Drosophila melanogaster: one gene and its partners. The protein of the gene in region 1 interacts with the protein of each later gene in a pairwise test. Each region holds a gene or a part of one and is shown on either strand. Other genes may lie near its edges.

Region 1 (4,269 bases):
CTTTTCCCCGCTTTTCTCGGACTCTACACTGCTTGGACTGCAAACGTACGGCAGACTAGAGGAGACCTCAGATGCGGAACAATGCAGCCTCTAACCGAGATGCAGCAGCCATGTCAGATACTAAGATACTTGCTCCTTTTACCTGGTCGACATGTCTCTAAATGTATTAACACTATTAACCTCCATGGGTTTGATGGAGTGCCTCCTTCGGTTTAATGCTACAGACAAACTTATTTTTTCCATAAAGCTTAAAGTTCGCACTTTTGAGATAGAAAATGCACAGTTGATAAATATATGTATGTGCGATGCTCTATATTGGCCCCTCAAGCATTTACTTAATCTGTCAAGTTGAGTAAACAATGAAGCAAAATAGAAGGACAGATAAATACACTGAGATAATTTTATGACAATATCTTCGATTTAAATGGAAATCATGAAATCTTGCATTAAGTACTTTTCGCATTTGTATTTACTTTGGGAATTCTGATCCCAAGTAATGTAGCTGAAAGAACTTAAAATTCTCTTATACAGATGACTGTCCAACATCTTTATTGGATATAGATGTGTGCATACCCAATGCCTCTAGGAGTACAGGGTATTTATTCATATAAAAGAGCACAACTTAGAATGTAACTTAGAATGATGCTCGGTCAACGCGCGGGATGAGCGATAAAATCAAAGCACAGTATAACCAAAACAATTGTTCAAAAAGAAGAGCAATTTTTTCGGACAATGAAGAAAGCGCATAAGAAGTGTTTTGAAAAAAACAAAAGTTTAACTCCTTTAAAATCATTAAAACGCTTTTAGCGCTTTTCACGCCCCTGGCCAGCGAGAATTTCCACCCGTCTGGCAAAGCGCTGGAAAGTTTAGTTTCGGCTTTGTTACCGAAAAAACAGAAAGACAAAAAAAAAAAAAAGGAAAACTGTCGGCGATGATGGAAAAAGTGGCAAAGTTTTTCTCAAAGGCATCACTGGCGAAGTATAAGAATAAAATGACCGACCATGAGTGACCGGAGCAAAGCTCTATGGGCTAGTAGATACCCTAACCAGATGACTTTCTTGCGAATAGATTTTGTCACTTAAGTGCCAGCAATGTGGAGGGCAGCCGTTCCTCCAGCCATGACTCCTTGGCTTTCGTCCTCCAGAAATCCTTTGTCCTTGGCCACAGTTTGAATCAAAGTGTCTTGGTCGTTCGCCATTGAAGCGAATGCGTAGCCCATGCCAATTGTGCAATTGTTGGAAAATTTCTTCTTCAGGTTTTTGGTATCTTTTATTTTTTCTTACATTTTTTTTTTTCCTAAAAACTTTATCGGTGTGCCTTTCATTTTTTCTTAACCATTTTTCCCCATTTTTACGCTCTTTGCCAAACCGTTTCCATAGTTTTTTTTTGCGTTTTGGGTTTCGTCTTAAAAGGTGTTGGCCATTATGCGGTTGCAGATACCCTTTGATCGAATATTAAAGGCTAATGCACAGAAATGTTCGAACGAAATCGAAATCAAGTGTTTTCGCTAAAAGTTGGCAAAGGGGAAGTGGCATGAGTTCAATCAATTTGACGAACTTCAATCAAGCTGCGCCATAGAATGAAGAACGACGAGCATCGCTGATTTGGAATCCATGTGGATTCATGCCACATCCCATTTGGGATTCCGCTGAAGTTCTGTCGTCAAATGGCAGCAGTCTGCAGTCTGCAACTTTAAGCTAACTTGTGATAGGTATCCCGCACACGCGCTCAGTTTGAGTTCGGTCAACAATTGCCCGCACAGACAAATTGGGAAGGAGCGCTGACTATTTGATACATTGTAGGGACCAATGTCCTGGCCATTTGCAGTTGCACGGGCACCAGGTTACAGCGAATCGATTCCCTCATTCAATCCTATCCCGATTCACCAGTCAGTTGTTGCCACTAATGCCCTTTCGACGAACAATAGTTGTCGAAATGGGGAAAGGATAAAAATGCATTACCTTCAAATAAAAAGTTATGTATTAAATTGTGCTGGTTTCTGACAGAGGAATTGTAATCAGCGCTGAACTCTTTCCTTTCTTATTTTCGCTGTCCTTAATTTGCGTTCGATTATTAGCAGAAAATAAAATATAATATAATTTGCACGAATTGGATTACCCATTATTTCTCTCAGTGCCAGCTCCGTAGCGATAAGGCTGTCGAACTGAGCGCAGTTCGCTTTCGCACTGGTTAATCGTCAGTGGTCGGCTTGGCATATCAGACGAACTAACCGCATCACCGACTTGACTACTGACCCCAATCTAAGCCCCTTCGTCTAATCAGCCAACTGGCGGCGACAACAACGCAGTTTCTGCAATCAAAATCAGTTGGAGCCAGCTCCCTCTAAGATGATGATCGAGTGGTGGCTGCCATGGGTGTGCCTCTTGCCGCTCATGCAGGCGGATCCTGTTGCTCCCCAGCTGGATCTTGGTGTGAAGGACTTCCAGCTGGAGCTTCTGCGCGAGTTAAGCGACCTGGTGCAACAGCGGATTGAACCGAGTCTCAACGACTACCTGGATCGTCTAGGACGCATTCCTCGGAATGCCAACTACACCGAAGAGATGAGTGCAGCTCGCGCAACACCAAAGCTTCAATTGAAGGTGACGCTCATCAAGCAGCTGCTCGACGTGCGTCCGCACCTGGACACGGATATGGAGTACACCATTGTGCTGCGCAACCTGGTCTTTCTGAACCGAGTCAGATCCACGCTGAGGGCTGCCGAGGAGACTAGCACACAAGAGATCCGAATGATGCGCATGCACCGCCTCTGCCAGCAACTTGACCGACCGGCTCCTCATCGCGGCAGTCGCCTGATCAACGAACAGACAGTCGGGGCGGCATTGGGGCAACTCAATCTGACCAAAAAGGAGGTGAACTCCACCGGCTTGGATCTCAATGAGTTCGGGGCGCAGCTGTACGAGCGGGTCAAGTTATCCGGCGCCGAAATCATCGACAACTACCTGCACATACTGCGTTCCCTGCTGCAGGACATCATCGACGGTGACCATGCTGATCTGGCCGGGAGCAGTGCCAAGCTGGACAAGATGCAGCAGCAGCTGGACGTCATGCTTGCCACGGAGGACTTCTTCGAGAAACGTCAACGGGTGTATGCGTACCTGGAGCACCACTTGCGCACCGATTACGAGGAGATGCGGGACACATCGAGCAGCGAGCACATCACCGAACATCTTCTCGCCCAGCTGAAGACCAAGGGACTGGACCTGTTCGTCATCTTTCTTTTTAGCAATTTTGAATTCCTAGACCTGGTGCACGAGCACTGGGAGCAGCTGTTGCCACAGTCACCCAGTTTGCTATACGACGAGACCGCACGCCAATTGTACGATCTGCAGCAGCTGTATCAGGTCTTCAAGCTGGACACGGAGTGCGAGGCCAAGTACACGGCCTACTCGGACGCACTGCGTCGCTTGCACGAGCGGACCGTGGAGCAGGGTCAGCGCAACCGGCACATCTTTGAGCTGCTCCACAACGCGGCACAAAGCGTCGGCACGGTTACCTTCAACATGATCCGGGCCAAGTGCAATGAGCTAAGATGAGATGACATTTATAATAAAACCAAACTTTGCTACTTAAATGATGAGAGTTGCGTGCTTTTGGCTATATAGTTCCACATACTAATATCTTATATTGAAGACATCGCCTGTGCTGCAATTGACAGCGTTTGAAAGGACAAGTTTCACAACATAATTACATTTTGCCAGTTCCTGCGGTTGTCGCCTGCTTTTAATATCCGTCTGCCGCATCTGATTTCGCTTAAGTATCGTCCAGGAACACCTTTCCACATCTTCGGGGTGAGCGGACAGCAACTTCCTTTTGCCGCATTATGCAGATGTTGCCGTTAGTGTTGCTTCTCCTGGTGTTGCCACTGCTCGTTGTTTATCAGATGCTGCCAGGGCTCTAAGGATTCAACTCTTGCTCCTGCTTCAGCTCCAGCTGAAGCTGCAGCATCATGGCTCCCTTGTGGTACCGATGGGCCTTCAGACTAATGACTGCTGCTGCCGCTGTCGTTGGCCAAAGCCAGCTAATTAATTGTCGTCGTTGCAGGTGATTAGAACTTAAATGAGTTGCCGGTGCAGCAGAAGTTTCCGTGGCACAGTTAGCCGTCAAAAAAAGGACGACATGGTGGTATAGCCATCCCGAATAGCAGACATGGTGGTTGCTATGTTATGCAGCTGTTCTGTGGTCATACGATAGCTTTTATATGACAAAATCAAGTGCGAAAGTTGATATTCTTTTATTATTTAGAACACA
Region 2 (5,327 bases), about 10 Mb from region 1:
TTGGAAACCATTCAAACCATCGGTTTTGTGTTCTGTTTCTAGCCTCGTCGGCGAATCAATAATTTAATTGACCCACTTTGACTGGAGTCGAGCAATAACTTTTCGAGGGCTACATAGTTTGAAGCTAATTGCTCGAAGTTATATACATAGTTGGCCAAAAGTTTAGACGAAATAGAGAAAAAGTTGTACCAAAGCGAATTTGGGTCGAAGCTACGTTGAAATACATCTGCACCGAAAGCGTTAGCAACTTTGTTGATGGCCAATAAATAGAACAAAGTGCTATCCAAACTGTAGTTCCAGATAACGAGCAACAGTTTTCCAAATGGCAAAGGAAATATATGCAAAGGAAGTATATGTTTTTCATGTTTTTTTATGTTTTATGTTATGTTTTTTTATAAGTAAATCCTGAAAGGCAATCACAACAACGAGCTCTTTTTCTTTTTTCTTCTTATTCCAAGCAAAACTAAAACAAAAGTGCTGTAATGCCTAACAGATGTGATAAGGCTTTAATCTAATCACAAAACTTAAGCTCAAACTGTTATTACCTAAGCTAATTAAATGCTCAGCGATTTTTAAACTGTAACTAGAAAATATTAGCTTCAATAATTGAATACAATAATCGAGTAGGCAGGAACGATGCCTTGGCATTTGACCTTGAACTCAAAAACGGCCAAAATGTCACATCGGTATCTATATATAAGCGAAAGCAGTTCTTTTTCTTTTTACCAAGGCGAATAAAATCAATAGGCTGAATGCTGCAATTTTTCGGAATTTCTAATTTATCAACAGGTTGACTCATAGATGTAGATGTGCAAACGGGTTCCCTCATCATCTTCTCTCTTTCCCCCATCGTCATTATCGAGTTCCCAAGTAAGTGCAAACAACAAAAAAACAATAATAAACATCTTTTTTCCATGACTATGAGTCAGAGAAATTGTTCCGGCTTTTTTTGTTTAACTTCTTGTGCCCAGTCAGTCCTTGAACCCCAAAACGGCGAAATAATATTACTAATGGAATTTAGAAAAACGATGAAGGCCTAAGATATATGAGCGGAGCGTATGATTTTGCGCTTGGGTTCATTCACATTAAGTTTTATTTTGGCCAACTTTTGCGGTAGCTTTGTGTGTAGGTTGCCCCGAACTTTTGGCATTGTCTTGTGTTTCGGTTTTTTGGCGATGACTTTACTTGACTTTGAAACTCCTCCAGTTGATCGCATTTAGTTTTACACGCAAAACTGGTGGTCAATAGATTGTATCCCATTTAAGCCATCACCTGACGATTTCCCATACAAATCTTATCTATCCTCATTGGATTTCTTTCTGTATTTCATGCGATTAATCACAACAGGTGACGCAAATTCTAGCGTAGAGCAGAGAACGTAATAAGCGCCACAACAATGGCAAAAAGTATATCAATGCCAAAACAACGAAACTGAACTCGAATTTCCAAAAATTAAATAAATTCCCATTTTTCAATTAAGTGTCAGCTTCGATTACTCGTAAACACGGAAATAAATAAAATCGCGTCCGTTCAAATGCAAATAGCTGTTTAAATTTATTTTTCCTATTGTTTTTCCTCGACGCTTTTGTGTGGAAATACGGAAAACAAAAATAAACGTAAATGAAGCGTGCCAAAGACAAATTTATAACTGTTTATGTTGGCACATTTGCAATAATGTGCTCCATTTAAGCGGTTAATAATTCTACATAAATGAAAATGAAAAATTAGGGATTTTCTAGAGCAATGATGAAATTAAATTTAAATTACGTTATCATGGGCAATACTCTGTCCTTGACTTTAATCTCTAGTCACTCTAAAACTGTTACTTTAATGCCAGCTTGTGAGACCAAAGAGGCTCGAATCTCAAAATGTAACGTGCCCACACACACACACAGATAGACATTGAGAAACATTGGTGGGCAAACGGAAAGTAAAACCAGTTTCAAACAAGAACTAAACAAAGCGCACCTAGCAACAACAATGGCATTACAGTAGAACCTTCCTAAATCAAACATGTTTAATATCTCATTTCTAAATGTTTTTAACGGCGAAAGCTTTGACAATGAAAATTGCACTTAGCACTCAACCATGTTTGTATGAAAATGTAATTATATAATACAATGCTTTACAGGGAAACGTATGACGTATATAATAAACACAGATCTTTTCTACGGAATGCCCACTGTAAACTGCAGGGCGTGTGCGTTGGCGTCGCTGACGTTTTATATCTTGTTTTTGCTTTTTTTATCTATACTTATTTGCTACGTTTGGCTGCTGCCCATGACCATGCCAAATGGGTGCGACAAGACCGGGGCAATGCTACAGGGGGAGGGAGTGAGAGGTAGAGACCCGGGCAATAGATTACATAAAACCGAAATGCAAACAAAAACTTTAACACCTATGTATGTATGTACATAACTGTTATCGCACAGTTTGGCATTGACTGCAGTTTATATGTTTTCAACTAGCCGTTCTTATTGTTTGAAAATGTACTTAAAACATTTCAATTTCTTTTGCAGTTTTAGCACTTCTTACTATCATTAAATTACTATTTTCGAAACGAATATCGCAAATTTAAATTGAATTTTTATATCAAAATGCTTGGTTTATGTTCAGGAACTTTACAGCTACATAAATAATAATGCCAGATTTTTCCGCCTTTTCCTTATGTACACAATACTGTGCATAAACATAGCTACAGTTTTTAAGTAACTTGGAACCACATTCACAGACAGGCTGTTATCTCTGGTTTTAAAGCGACTGTGGAGATTTTCCCGTTTTTATTTTTACTTACGTTGCCGCGTCCTTGGGCACAATTTGCTCTGCTTTGACATCGATGGTTGGCTGTTCTGTCGTTATTTCCACATCCATTTCGGAGTTCGATGAGGTTTCTTCGCGTTCGCTGTCGCTAATTTCAATTACTTCGTCGTCCATGCGTGGCAATTACAAAATGAAAGAACACCAGCGACCAGAGTCCAGTGCTTGCAAAACGTTGTTATTTGTCAATTCCCCTTTATTCCACTGCTTTTTCGCTTTTGCGTCAATGGCAAGTAATTGTTCGTGTGTGTGTGCGCTTGCGTATGTATGTACGTCGCACGCGCGCCGTGTTAGAAATCCCCGATTTCTGGTGCCTTCGATGCGATTAACTTTCTTACGTCTCTTTCAGCAAATCACTTTATTCGCTGCGGCTTCCCTTTTAGTTGCCTATTTAGTTTTTAAACTTGAATTTTGTGTTTTGTATGGCCGAACGAACCGAGCACACGGAAAAAAGCGTGCCATGCGAAGTAGTGGTGGAACACAACTAGGGGTGTGCAAAAGGCTCAAGAGTAAAAATATATCGATAAATAAATATTTTTATCCTCACGTGTCGATGTTCCTCATGGACACAACAATATAAGTGGATTGTATATTAAGCAGCCTAATAATACCTGAATTATGCAAAGCAATGCGTGTTGGAGCTTAATCAAAATAAGATAAATCATCATTTGGGTCTGAAACCCTGCTAAGGGAAACATCTGTTGGATGTGAACTCGGCTATCGTGAGCACGCTTATCAGCTGATTACCAAGCGGAAATTCAGTGTTGATGAAAACTTCTTCTTGTTTTGACGTTCCGCGTGCGAAATTTAAAGTACCCTGTGTTCTTCAAAAACTAGATAATATCTTCGTTTCTTAATCGCAACTCTTTAATCCAAAATTAAAACCATTATTCCTAAGCTCTATCAAATCATCCAAATAAGATTGTAATCATTCGGCATGAAAAATCTGTTAAAAATTAGTTTGATTAGTACAAGTAAGGAAAAGTATTCATAAAGGTACATAATTAGTTTCCTCAAATTCTAGAATTCATTTCAGTCTATTGCTTAGTATATTTGTATGTATATTTATAAAAAAGGACGGAAACGGCAAATTTAATCTGAATTCCGACTGTATTTTGGAGATAATGAAATACGTTATTACGGATTGCCAGTTAAGAGAGATCCTGAGAATGACTACAATGATTTAATAAATTTTGTTCTGGCCGACGAATTCTTTGTCGAATTGCTTGCGGATTATCACAAGATCCTGAGCTGACTCTACTATGGAGGATCATAGTACTGGAAATAGATCTTCGAGTGAATAGGCAATCAAAAAACGAAAGTTGGAGAATCTGTTGGAATCTGTTGGTAACAAAAATCCGTTTGATATTCAACTGTGTTTTCAAGGCTCATACGTATAAATAACACTAAAAGGTAAAATATATTTTAACTTTAAACCTTTTGACGTCTGAATTATATTTGAATTGTATTTAATTTGTATTTTAAGACATTTCATCGGGCCGCACACACCACAAGTCGTTAAAAGTTGAATTTACTTTGTCAGCAAAGTTAACAATGTTCTAAAATCCATAAGAGATCCCGCAAATCAAAGACCGCTACATCTCAGTATATTAAGTGGATGGCCAGGCCCGAATGTAATGCATGTAAGTAACACACGTATAACTTTGTGTGTTTTTTTAATTTATAATAAATGGTAATCTTGCAGGTGCATGACATTGAAGAGTCAATCTTGAACGTTGTTTATTCGAATGATGATCATTTAACTATCTTAGCCTATTGACTATTGTTAGTTTAAAACTAATTTTAAAAGAACAGAATGGATGTGATTGTAACACTTTTATAATTTAACACGATTGTCTTGTATTATTGTTATCAAAAAATATGTATTTCTAAGCATATGTACAAGGTATTCACTATAAACGACACTTCTCGTGCTTAGGCTTATTGCGGTAGCACCCAAAAGCCTTGTCAAATGGCTCAAACCCTTCAATAGCTCGCTGTAAACGCACTTGATCTTCCTTGTACTGAACCAACATATCGCTATTGCCGCAGAAGAACTGGCCAACATTTAGGAAGAATATCTGCTCCGGTGGCAAATGGGTGAAATCCAAACGGTTTCGATTCTTGGCCATCTTAGCATAAGTAAAATAGGCCAGTTCTAAACCAGCAATATCGCCCATGCTTTCATCGATGTTCTCTGAATTGCGTGACAAGCAACTGACTGCTTCTTCGAAACGATGCGATCTAAATGATTGATCGTTTCCATCGCTGCCAATTGTAATGCCCTCGGTGGCAAAGGCGCTTATCAAGTGATGTGCCATAATATATCCCATCAGGCTGTATTTGAAGACATCTTCGCTTTCCAGCTGAAAGAATGGCTCTTGCAGTAGCCCAAGGGGGACAATAATCACATTGGGGCGCATCACATAGTACGAGGTGGAGGCAATGGCGCCGCTTGGCTCCTGTAAGTCAAAATATTCTGCTCCTCTGAGTGCCCTTTGCTGGATTGG
Region 3 (3,765 bases), on another chromosome or scaffold:
CACGGCATGGCCTAAAGCTGAGCGGAAAGATCGCCCGCCTGGAGCAGCAGGAGCGCGAGATGCTGGAGAAGCTTCAGCGCAAGCTGAAGACTACGCCTGAAACCGAGCATCGAGCAGTGGAGTCAGTTGATGACAGTGTGGAGCAGTGTGATACGAAGGCAAAGAAAAAGAAAAAATCCATAGCGGAGGAGTTTTCCGAGGCATGTGAGGTTTCCCAACTGGAAGAGCCCATAAAATCCAAGAAAAAGAAGAAAGACAAGGCTGAGAAGGCAGGAAAGGAATCCCCAGCACATCAAACTCCAGAAGATCCCGTCAAGATCAAGAGGAAAAAAAATAAGACACGGGAGCCGGGAGAGGAAGACGGTGTGGAAGTCGAAGAGCCAGTGAAGATAAAAAAGAAGAAGGACAAGAGAGCGGATAGGCAAGCAGGGCTTGGAGCAACTGAAGGACTGCCCCAGGATGTTGAAACTGATGAACAAGTAAAGTCAAAAAAGAAGCGAAAAACGGCGGACTCTTCGGAGGAATCGGAAACTAGCACAAAACTAAAAAAGAAACGAAAGAACAAGGAGAACGTGTAATAGTTATAGTCCACTTTAGAATAAACGATGTTAGAAAAATGTAATTTATGAAAATTGCTCATGGAATTCTAAAATTCTATACGGAGTATTCCACATTTCGAAAGTAAGGCTGTGTGCACACAAAATGTTATGTATTTATGGGTCTAAAAAATCTATACAGGATTGGGGGCTTTATAAAACTAGAGTTTGGTCACCTAAATATAGTCGGCAGTCCCGGGGATTACTTTCTGCCCTTGGCCTTAATGCGTCGCGATTTGCCAAGCCGCTTGTTGACCGAAGCACCTGCCTTTACGCCCCGCTGGCGCCTGGAGGACTTGTCGCCATCCAATCCCGCGGAGGAGGACTTTGTGTTCCTCTTGAGGCCCTTCTTCTTGCCGCCGAAGCCGAACTTCTTGTTGCGCTTCTTGCGATTCTCGGCTGACTGCTTCTGCTTGGACTCAAGCGCCTTGGCGTCCTCCAGGAAGTCCAGGTTTTTCAGCTTGCCCTTGCGGAACTTCTTCAGTTTGTCCAGCATGTCCTTCTTCTCGGCTTCGCGTTGGACCTTGGTCTGTTTGGCCAGCATCTTGCCCATCTTGCGCTGCTCGCGGATCTGCTTGATGCGCTCGGATTTCGCCTGTCCTTGCTGTTTGGCCATCAGGTTGGCGCGCACCTTCTGCATGTGCTCGTCGGACTTGGCCATTTCAGCGAAGTAGTCATCGGGTCGACGAGTCTTTATGCCCAGCTCGTGAAGGCGGGGAATGGCCTCCAGAACAGCACTTTGCGCCTGTCGGTGGAAGAGCATCTCCCTCTTGAAGTCATTCAGGACGGGATCCTCCTCGGGCCGAATGTAGGGCAGCTTGGCGTTGCCCTTGAAGAGATTGGCCCGCTTCTGCTCGTGCTTCTCCAGCTGTACAGCGAGTTCCGGCGCCAGTGGAGCTAGTGTGTTGATCATGTCCAGGCGTTCCAGCCAAGGCAGTTGCATCTTGATAGCCTCTGTCTTGGCCAGCAGTTTGGTCTATGTGGGCAGGATTGGATTAGTCGATTCAAAAGCGGGCATCCAGCTAGCTACTTACCACATCGTTCACTTTGTCTCTCTGGCCATTGAATTCCACATTTAGGCCTGGTTTCAAGTCGCCTCGCTCAAATGCCGCTTGCAGCTGCAGGAAAAGAGTGGAGATTTTGGTATACGGGGTGTTCATTTCTTCGGTTCCTCACTTACCTCGGCATCTGAGTTATCCCCTGAGTCGTAGCCCGAGGCACTGTCCTCCATTTCAAAGTCCGACATGTCTGAATTAACTAAATTAAATCTGATCCAAATAAAAGAAAACAATTTCAACACGTGCGGGGATAAGAATTATCGATTGTTGCTGGCCTAAGTCTATCGGCTATCGATGTTGCAGTGTGACCTTCACGCGGCTTACTGCTAAAATTATTGAGGTGCACTAAAAAGCGAAGTGCTGTGTGACCGTTTAACCAATTCTCGCTTCGCTTTTCAAATACTGCCGCTTTTTGTTTCTGTTTTGCGAATTTGCTCCAAAAATGTCGGCTTCTGCGAACTTGGCAAACGTTTACGCGGAGCTAATGCGGCGGTGTGGCGAGTCATACACGATCACCTATGGAGCGCCACCCACCTACTTGGTGAGCATGGTGGGGGCTGCGGAAGCTGGCAAGAAGATTGTGCTGGTCTTTAAGGAGGATCGCAATGGAGCAGTGGCGAGACTCCGGACCACGCCCACCAGGGCAGCCCCAAAAAAAGAGGGCTCTGCGGACTTGGATCTGACGGGAAGTCCTTTGAAGGACGACTGCCTGGTGGACGCCATAGCCGACTTGTCCATCGACCTGCAGCTGGATCACTCGAATCCCTGGAAGCTGGAGGAGGAATATCAACGCGGAATACCCGTGGACAAGGCTAGGTCCATCGTGTGCTCCGAGTTCCTGCAGCTGGCCGAGGGACTCGGATCCGTGTGGTTTTTGTGCGACGGCAGTGATCTCGGGCAGACTCAGTTGCTCCAGTACGAGTTCAACCCTACGCACTTCTCCAGGGGAATACTTAGCTACCAGGGTGTGCGCCCTGCTTACTTAGTAACCTCGCAAGCCCTGGTGCGCCATCATGGCAAGACACCGGATGAAACTCTCATTGAAAATAGCTACCAGGTCAATCCCCACATGAGACTACGCTGCTCCTGGACCTCTAGTGCTGCACTTCCGCTCCTGGTGAACCTGAACGACTGCGATGTGGCTTTGAATCACACTTTTCGCGTGGGCGACTGCGGTCCTTTGACGCAGGACTTTATGAATCAGCTGCGCATTCTGGTCTACATACGCGAGGACATCGTCTCCTACCACACGGATGTCAAGCAGGGCGTCTCTCGGGATCCCACCTATCGTTGTGGCAGTGGCATTGACATGGACGAGCTGCGCGAGTCCATTAATCAGACAATGACAGATGTCTCTGGCCTTATAGGTCGGTATAGCATCAGCAATGCGGAGTTTGACATCGAAGATGTGGTGCAGAGGGCCAAGGTTCGCCAGCTCACGGATCTAACCGATAAGCTTTGGGAGCTGCTCAAGTGCTGCCACTCCTACAAGGATCTCAAAATTGCCTTTAGTATGCTCTTCCAATGTGCTGCACGGTGTAACATAGTAGTAAGTATGCTAATGCATGCAAACCACCACATATTATTCATGTTCCTCACCCCATAGAACACGCCTACTAACAAAAATCGACTTGCCAAGATTATCACCGAGTTGGCCAACCGTCGTCTGGCCATGCCTTGTTTAAGTGGGGCCGAGCCTCTGGAACTGCTTTTGGAAATTGGCCTGGAGAAGTTGTACAAGGACTACGAGTTTATCTACACCGAGAGCAAGATGTGCAGCACCAATCTGTTGAAGGATGACTCCAGCGGAGCGTCGATGGACGATGGTTCTCCCCAGAATCTGCCCCAGCTTCGAAAATCCCTGCACAATGCGGTCAGGGGTGATCCGACCCCTGGAGCTGGAATGCGAAAGACGCTGCTGCATCATCACGGCGCTGTCAATTCGCGGAGTACAAAATATGCCGGTAGCGACGATGATGCTGGGTTCAAAAACAGCCATTTCGACGAGCACGAGAGTACGGAGAGAATCTCAAAGTTGTTTCAGATTCACTGCACCTTAGAGCATCTCCTGATGATGCACATCCACTTAAATCTGGCAAATGGTAAGAAGG
Region 4 (4,629 bases), on another chromosome or scaffold:
ATGGGTTGTAGTTTCTCGAATCGTGTCTTTCGTTTTCTCCACCACCGAGCTTGGGGTGCTGTTTCGTTGTATCCCGCTTGCAGGATCAAACGAGATGCAGGATCATCGTGTCTGATCTAGCAGATGATTCCATGGTAGCAAGCGACCGATGGCGAGTATCAGATACTTTAACTTGCATAACAGCCAAGTTAGCCAACTTATCTGAGCTGTTGGAATTACACAATTTCTAAAGCTCATCGCTTGGATATTGGTTTCTTCCTTTGTCGATGGTTTCTAGTTGTTCTAATTGTCATTTACGCGATAGTCAGAGAACTTCAGAGAGATCCATATAATCCGAATGAATAAACTCGACATAAAATATCGCAAGTCTTGCACCATGGAGCAGTCTTGCAGTAACAAGTCGTTCGAAGAAGTCTCGTTGGTGAACTGCGTCACAGTCAGACGTTGTCCAAATTCGACTGGAAGAACAGGTGGCTCTGCCAGAAGGACTGGTACTGGATATATGACTTTTTCGAAATATTTATATTATTAGCCAGCACGTAAACGGGCAGTCCTTATAATTACTAACGCGATTTCAATACTCTATAAGATTAGGCACAATTTATTTTTAAATTCGAGCTATTGTAGTCAATTTAAGATCCCACGTTAACACAAACTTCTGTGGTCTTAATCGTGACCAATTTTGTTGCTCTAATATTCGAGGATCCTGATATTCTCTTGTTTAAAGGTCAGGATGTTGGGAATATTTTGTTTCTATTCGATATTAAAATGTGTATGCATACCACCAACTGTGCGTGTTGGTAATTTTACCCGATTTTAAAGTTCTTTCTTAATAGATTAAGTACAATTTAAAGTAGGTTACAAGGTTATTTAGCAACTAGAGTTAATGGCATAAAGACGTAACTTTAATATTTATGTATATATTCGCTTATCAAATGGACTCTTAGGCGGTAACAATAAATTACAAATTTGGGAGACTGGTTTGGGGAGCAGCACCACTGACCAAGGGTTTGGCCAGCGTAGTGAATCGCCTGCTGAACTGATCCTTTACCAGCTCTGGAGTGACTGTGGAGGCCGCGTCCAGGTACTGCACCACTGGAATCTGGCCCATTTCGAGCACGGGAACCTGTCGCACGCGAAGTCCCGGTAGGAGTACTTGGGATTGGGCCATAATCAGTGCAAGGAGTCCAACCAGTGGTATAAGATGCAGCCTCATTTTGAGTTGATGCAGCTTGGAGAATGCTGGTGTCCCACTGTTAGCTTCACACTTTATACTTATCCAGGAAATTCCGGAAGTCTCTTACCTTCCCCAAGCATCGGGTGATTGATCTGCAATTGGCTTACCGCATCTGCTCTGCTCGTGTCCGTTCAACCGGTTAGGCAGTATCGTTATTTTGAATAACTGGAATTGGCGTGCGGAATGTTAATGGCCACAGTCTTCAGTTCGAAGCTCACACTTCAAAATGTGATATCAAAATGTTCATTTTGTAATTGTAATTGATGTACATAGCACAAGTTTTGAACGACAAGTATAAAGAAAAAGACAAAGCGAAAATCTCCTTCAATTCGAATCTTAACAGCTCATAAAGTTATGAGGCAGAGTTTCCACCCTCTGACCAAGAAACGAATCGTATTTCATCCTCCCTACATCTTGCAGAGTAAATTAAATAGAATAGGTATAGTGATTCCGACATAGATATTTCGTATTTTGAATGCATCCAATGGCATGGCAGGGGAACGCTTACATAAGCATTCTATCACAAGTGATTAGACTAATTTAGAAAGTTAATCTGTTAATTTCATTAAGCTCACTGATAGCTCTCCCACTGAATGACATTTTTGAGTCATAGTCACAAAAGATCACAAATAAATCGAATTGACCATTCACAGCCAGACTCAAACAAATTTCAGACGGTGAAAACACTCCTTCAATCCTTAGAATCAGTGAAGTCGGGCCATTAGACGCTTGCAGGAATACCCCTAACTCCATTCAGAAGAGCTTCGACTTTGGCCGGTTGGATTTTCCACCTACATACGTACACGATGCATGTGTATTTGAATTAACTGAATAAGAACGCCGATTAGCAGCTCAGTAGGCGGAATCAGTAGACAGCGATACAGGTGAGCGGTCGTTTATCTACTCCATACCATACAGCGTGCTAAGTCGCAGCTGCGATTCCAGTGATATCGCAATATCGCGCAATCTGACATCGAATCTTTGAAGGCGACTTACGGCGAAATGTCTGGCGATCGACTGGATGTGATTATCTTTGGGGCCAGTGGCTTCACCGGCAAGTACACGGTCTTCGAGGCGGTCACGGTGCTGCGCGGCTTGCGATGGGGCATCGCTGGCAGGAACCGCGAGAAGCTGGAGGCGGTGTTGAAGGAGATGGGCGCCAAGGCCAAGAAGGACCTCTCGCAGGTGCCCATCTTCATCGCGGACGTCAACGACCAGGCCTCCCTGCTTGAGATGGCGAAAAAGTGCCGGATTGTGGTGAACACGGCAGGACCCTACCGCTTTCACGGCGAAAACGTCGTGAAGTGCTGCATCGAATCGGGCACGCACCATGTGGATGTTAGCGGCGAGCCCCAGTACATGGAGACCATGCAGCTGAGGTACGATCAGCTGGCCAGGGAAAAGGGCGTGTACGTGGTCAGCGCCTGCGGCTTTGACTCCATACCCGCCGACATGGGCGTCGTCTTTGTGGAAAAAAACTTCGACGGCGTGGTGAACTCCGTGGAGACCTTCCTGGAGACCGGAATCAAAGAAGGCGGCAGTGGCGGAGGCACTGCCGGCCTCAACTACGGAACCTGGGAGAGCGCCGTTTACGGGCTAGCTCACTCTGACGAGCTGCGCGGCATCCGGAAGCAGATCTATCCCCAGAGACTGCCAAGATTCTATCCCTTTCTCAAGCCACGACCGCTGGTCTTCCGCTCTACCGAGGTTGACAAGGTGTGTCTACCTTTTCCCGGCTCCGACCGCTCGGTGGTAATGAGGTCCCAGCGCTTCCTCTACGACCAGGACAAGAAACGTCCGGTCCAGATGCAGGCCTACGTGGGATTTTCGTCTTGGCTGGTCGCCGGCGGTGTCATCTTTTTTGCCACCATCTTCGGTCTGCTGTCAAAGTTCAAGCTGGGACGTACGCTGCTGCTCAATTACCCCGGTCTCTTCTCCGGCGGATTGGCCTCTCGTTCCGGCCCAAGTGAGGAGTCAATGGAGCGCACCTATTTCAAGATGACTTTTAAGGCCAGTGGCTGGCTTAAGAGCGATCGCCTGGCCGAGAGTTCAAACCAATACACGGAGTCCCCGACCAAGACGCTGATGGTCCGCGTATCGGGCATGAATCCCGGATATGGAGCCACCTGCGTGGCTGTGCTCTCAGCGGCACTGACCATTCTTCGTGAGTCGGACAAGATGCCCAGCACAGGCGGAGTGCTGCCTCCAGCTGCCGCCTTCTCTAAGACCGGACTAATTAGCGAGTTGGAGAAGCACGACCACGGCATCAAGTTTGAGATTCTGGCCAACAAGTAATGTCCAGAATCGCACTTCTCCCTCCCAGCGGCTCTCTTTTAATCACCTTACTTGGCTGTTTGTTACTCGCGGTTTGAACTGTAATTATATAAGCACTTATTAAACTAACCCCCACATCCGCTGCTGTTGTTGCCGATTTCAAAGTCCAGGCGAAACGGGTTAGATCTAATTCAGTGAATTTTGCACCTCAGAATAAATTAAGATGCGAAAAACAGATTTTCCTACCTTAAAATGTAAATATTATCTTGGCTAACATCGCCAGGTGCAAGTCGCTATGAACATGACTTTCTGATTTCAAGCGGTTTGATTCGTATATTCGACTAAATTTTAATTAAGATTTTTGTATTTTACAAAGACGTAAGAGGGGATTGGGTTTCAGAAGTTTTTAAAAGGAACCGTAATCGACTTGTTGCTTTCGTTTGCTCTTTCTAAACGGCCTTATATAGCCTTAAAAGTGAGAAACCCTTTGGATTAGTTCTCCAATATATTAATACAATACTTCTTACTACTTACTTCCATCAAGAGAACACAGTTAACTGAAGTGCTATTACTTTATAAGCAGGTTGAATGTCTGGTTTGGAGCATAAATCTGGAGAGGATTCGCAGCGTAGACGGTCACGGGCAGATTCCATACCATCGTCTCCACGGGCATTTCAGACGGTGCTTTTAGCTCGCCGGACTCCGGATTCGGAATGCCAAAGTCAATCAAAGTTGTGGTCACAAACTCGAAATGCAATCGCCATCGCACGTCGACGAGGTCTGTGCGGAATGTGGGTGTTACGTGCAGCGGAATGGGTACCACGACCTGGGTCTGCAGCGTTGCGTAGCACACTTGGTGGGAGGTGGAAATGGTCGAAAGTTTCCCGGTTGGCTCAGGCGCCTCCTTAACCTTTGAGCTAGCCGATGTGGCCGACTTGTGGAGGTTATCTGCCAACACTCCGCTAGCTATGCTGGCCATATCAAAGGAGTTCATCGAGGAGACATCATCGCCCGTCGAGGATTGCGACTGCAGCTGGTGATTTTGCACTGGTTGCGGTCGGATGGAAAGCTCCTGCTGCTGCAGCTTTACCGAAAACTGGACGCAGCGCACCTGGTAA

Evidence for each region.
Region 2: the proteins of CG42369 (region 1) and Tpr2 interact in a two-hybrid assay, tested with the Drosophila melanogaster proteins (one large-scale study listed by BioGRID).
Region 3: the proteins of CG42369 (region 1) and CG1542 interact in a two-hybrid assay, tested with the Drosophila melanogaster proteins (one large-scale study listed by BioGRID).
Region 4: the proteins of CG42369 (region 1) and CG2604 interact in a two-hybrid assay, tested with the Drosophila melanogaster proteins (one large-scale study listed by BioGRID).

What each region holds. Positions count from the first base shown.
Region 1 is NT_033779.5:6,395,173-6,399,441, reverse strand, and holds CG42369 (uncharacterized protein), read left to right. Parts: upstream 1-2,192; 5' UTR 2,193-2,348; coding exon 2,349-3,554; 3' UTR 3,555-3,589; downstream 3,590-4,269.
Region 2 is NT_033779.5:16,489,519-16,494,845, reverse strand, and holds the start of Tpr2 (tetratricopeptide repeat protein 2), read right to left. Parts: upstream 3,307-5,327; 5' UTR 2,935-3,306; coding exon 2,795-2,934; intron 1-2,794. Other genes in the region: Nepl8 (Neprilysin-like 8), read right to left, coding at 4,731-5,197, 5,251-5,327.
Region 3 is NT_033777.3:31,211,621-31,215,385, reverse strand, and holds CG1542 (uncharacterized protein), read right to left. Parts: upstream 1,929-3,765; 5' UTR 1,843-1,928; coding exon 1,777-1,842; intron 1,715-1,776; coding exon 1,631-1,714; intron 1,573-1,630; coding exon 799-1,572; 3' UTR 602-798; downstream 1-601. Other genes in the region: CG15561 (uncharacterized protein), read left to right, coding at 1-578; zwilch, read left to right, coding at 2,097-3,203, 3,261-3,756. UniProt on the Drosophila melanogaster protein: Required for the processing of the 27S pre-rRNA.
Region 4 is NT_033777.3:5,220,742-5,225,370, reverse strand, and holds CG2604 (uncharacterized protein), read left to right. Parts: upstream 1-2,005; 5' UTR 2,006-2,121; exon of another isoform or gene 2,122-2,224; 5' UTR 2,225-2,239; coding exon 2,240-3,532; 3' UTR 3,533-3,739; downstream 3,740-4,629. Other genes in the region: CG14664 (uncharacterized protein), read right to left, coding at 962-1,216; CG1116 (uncharacterized protein), read right to left, coding at 4,080-4,622.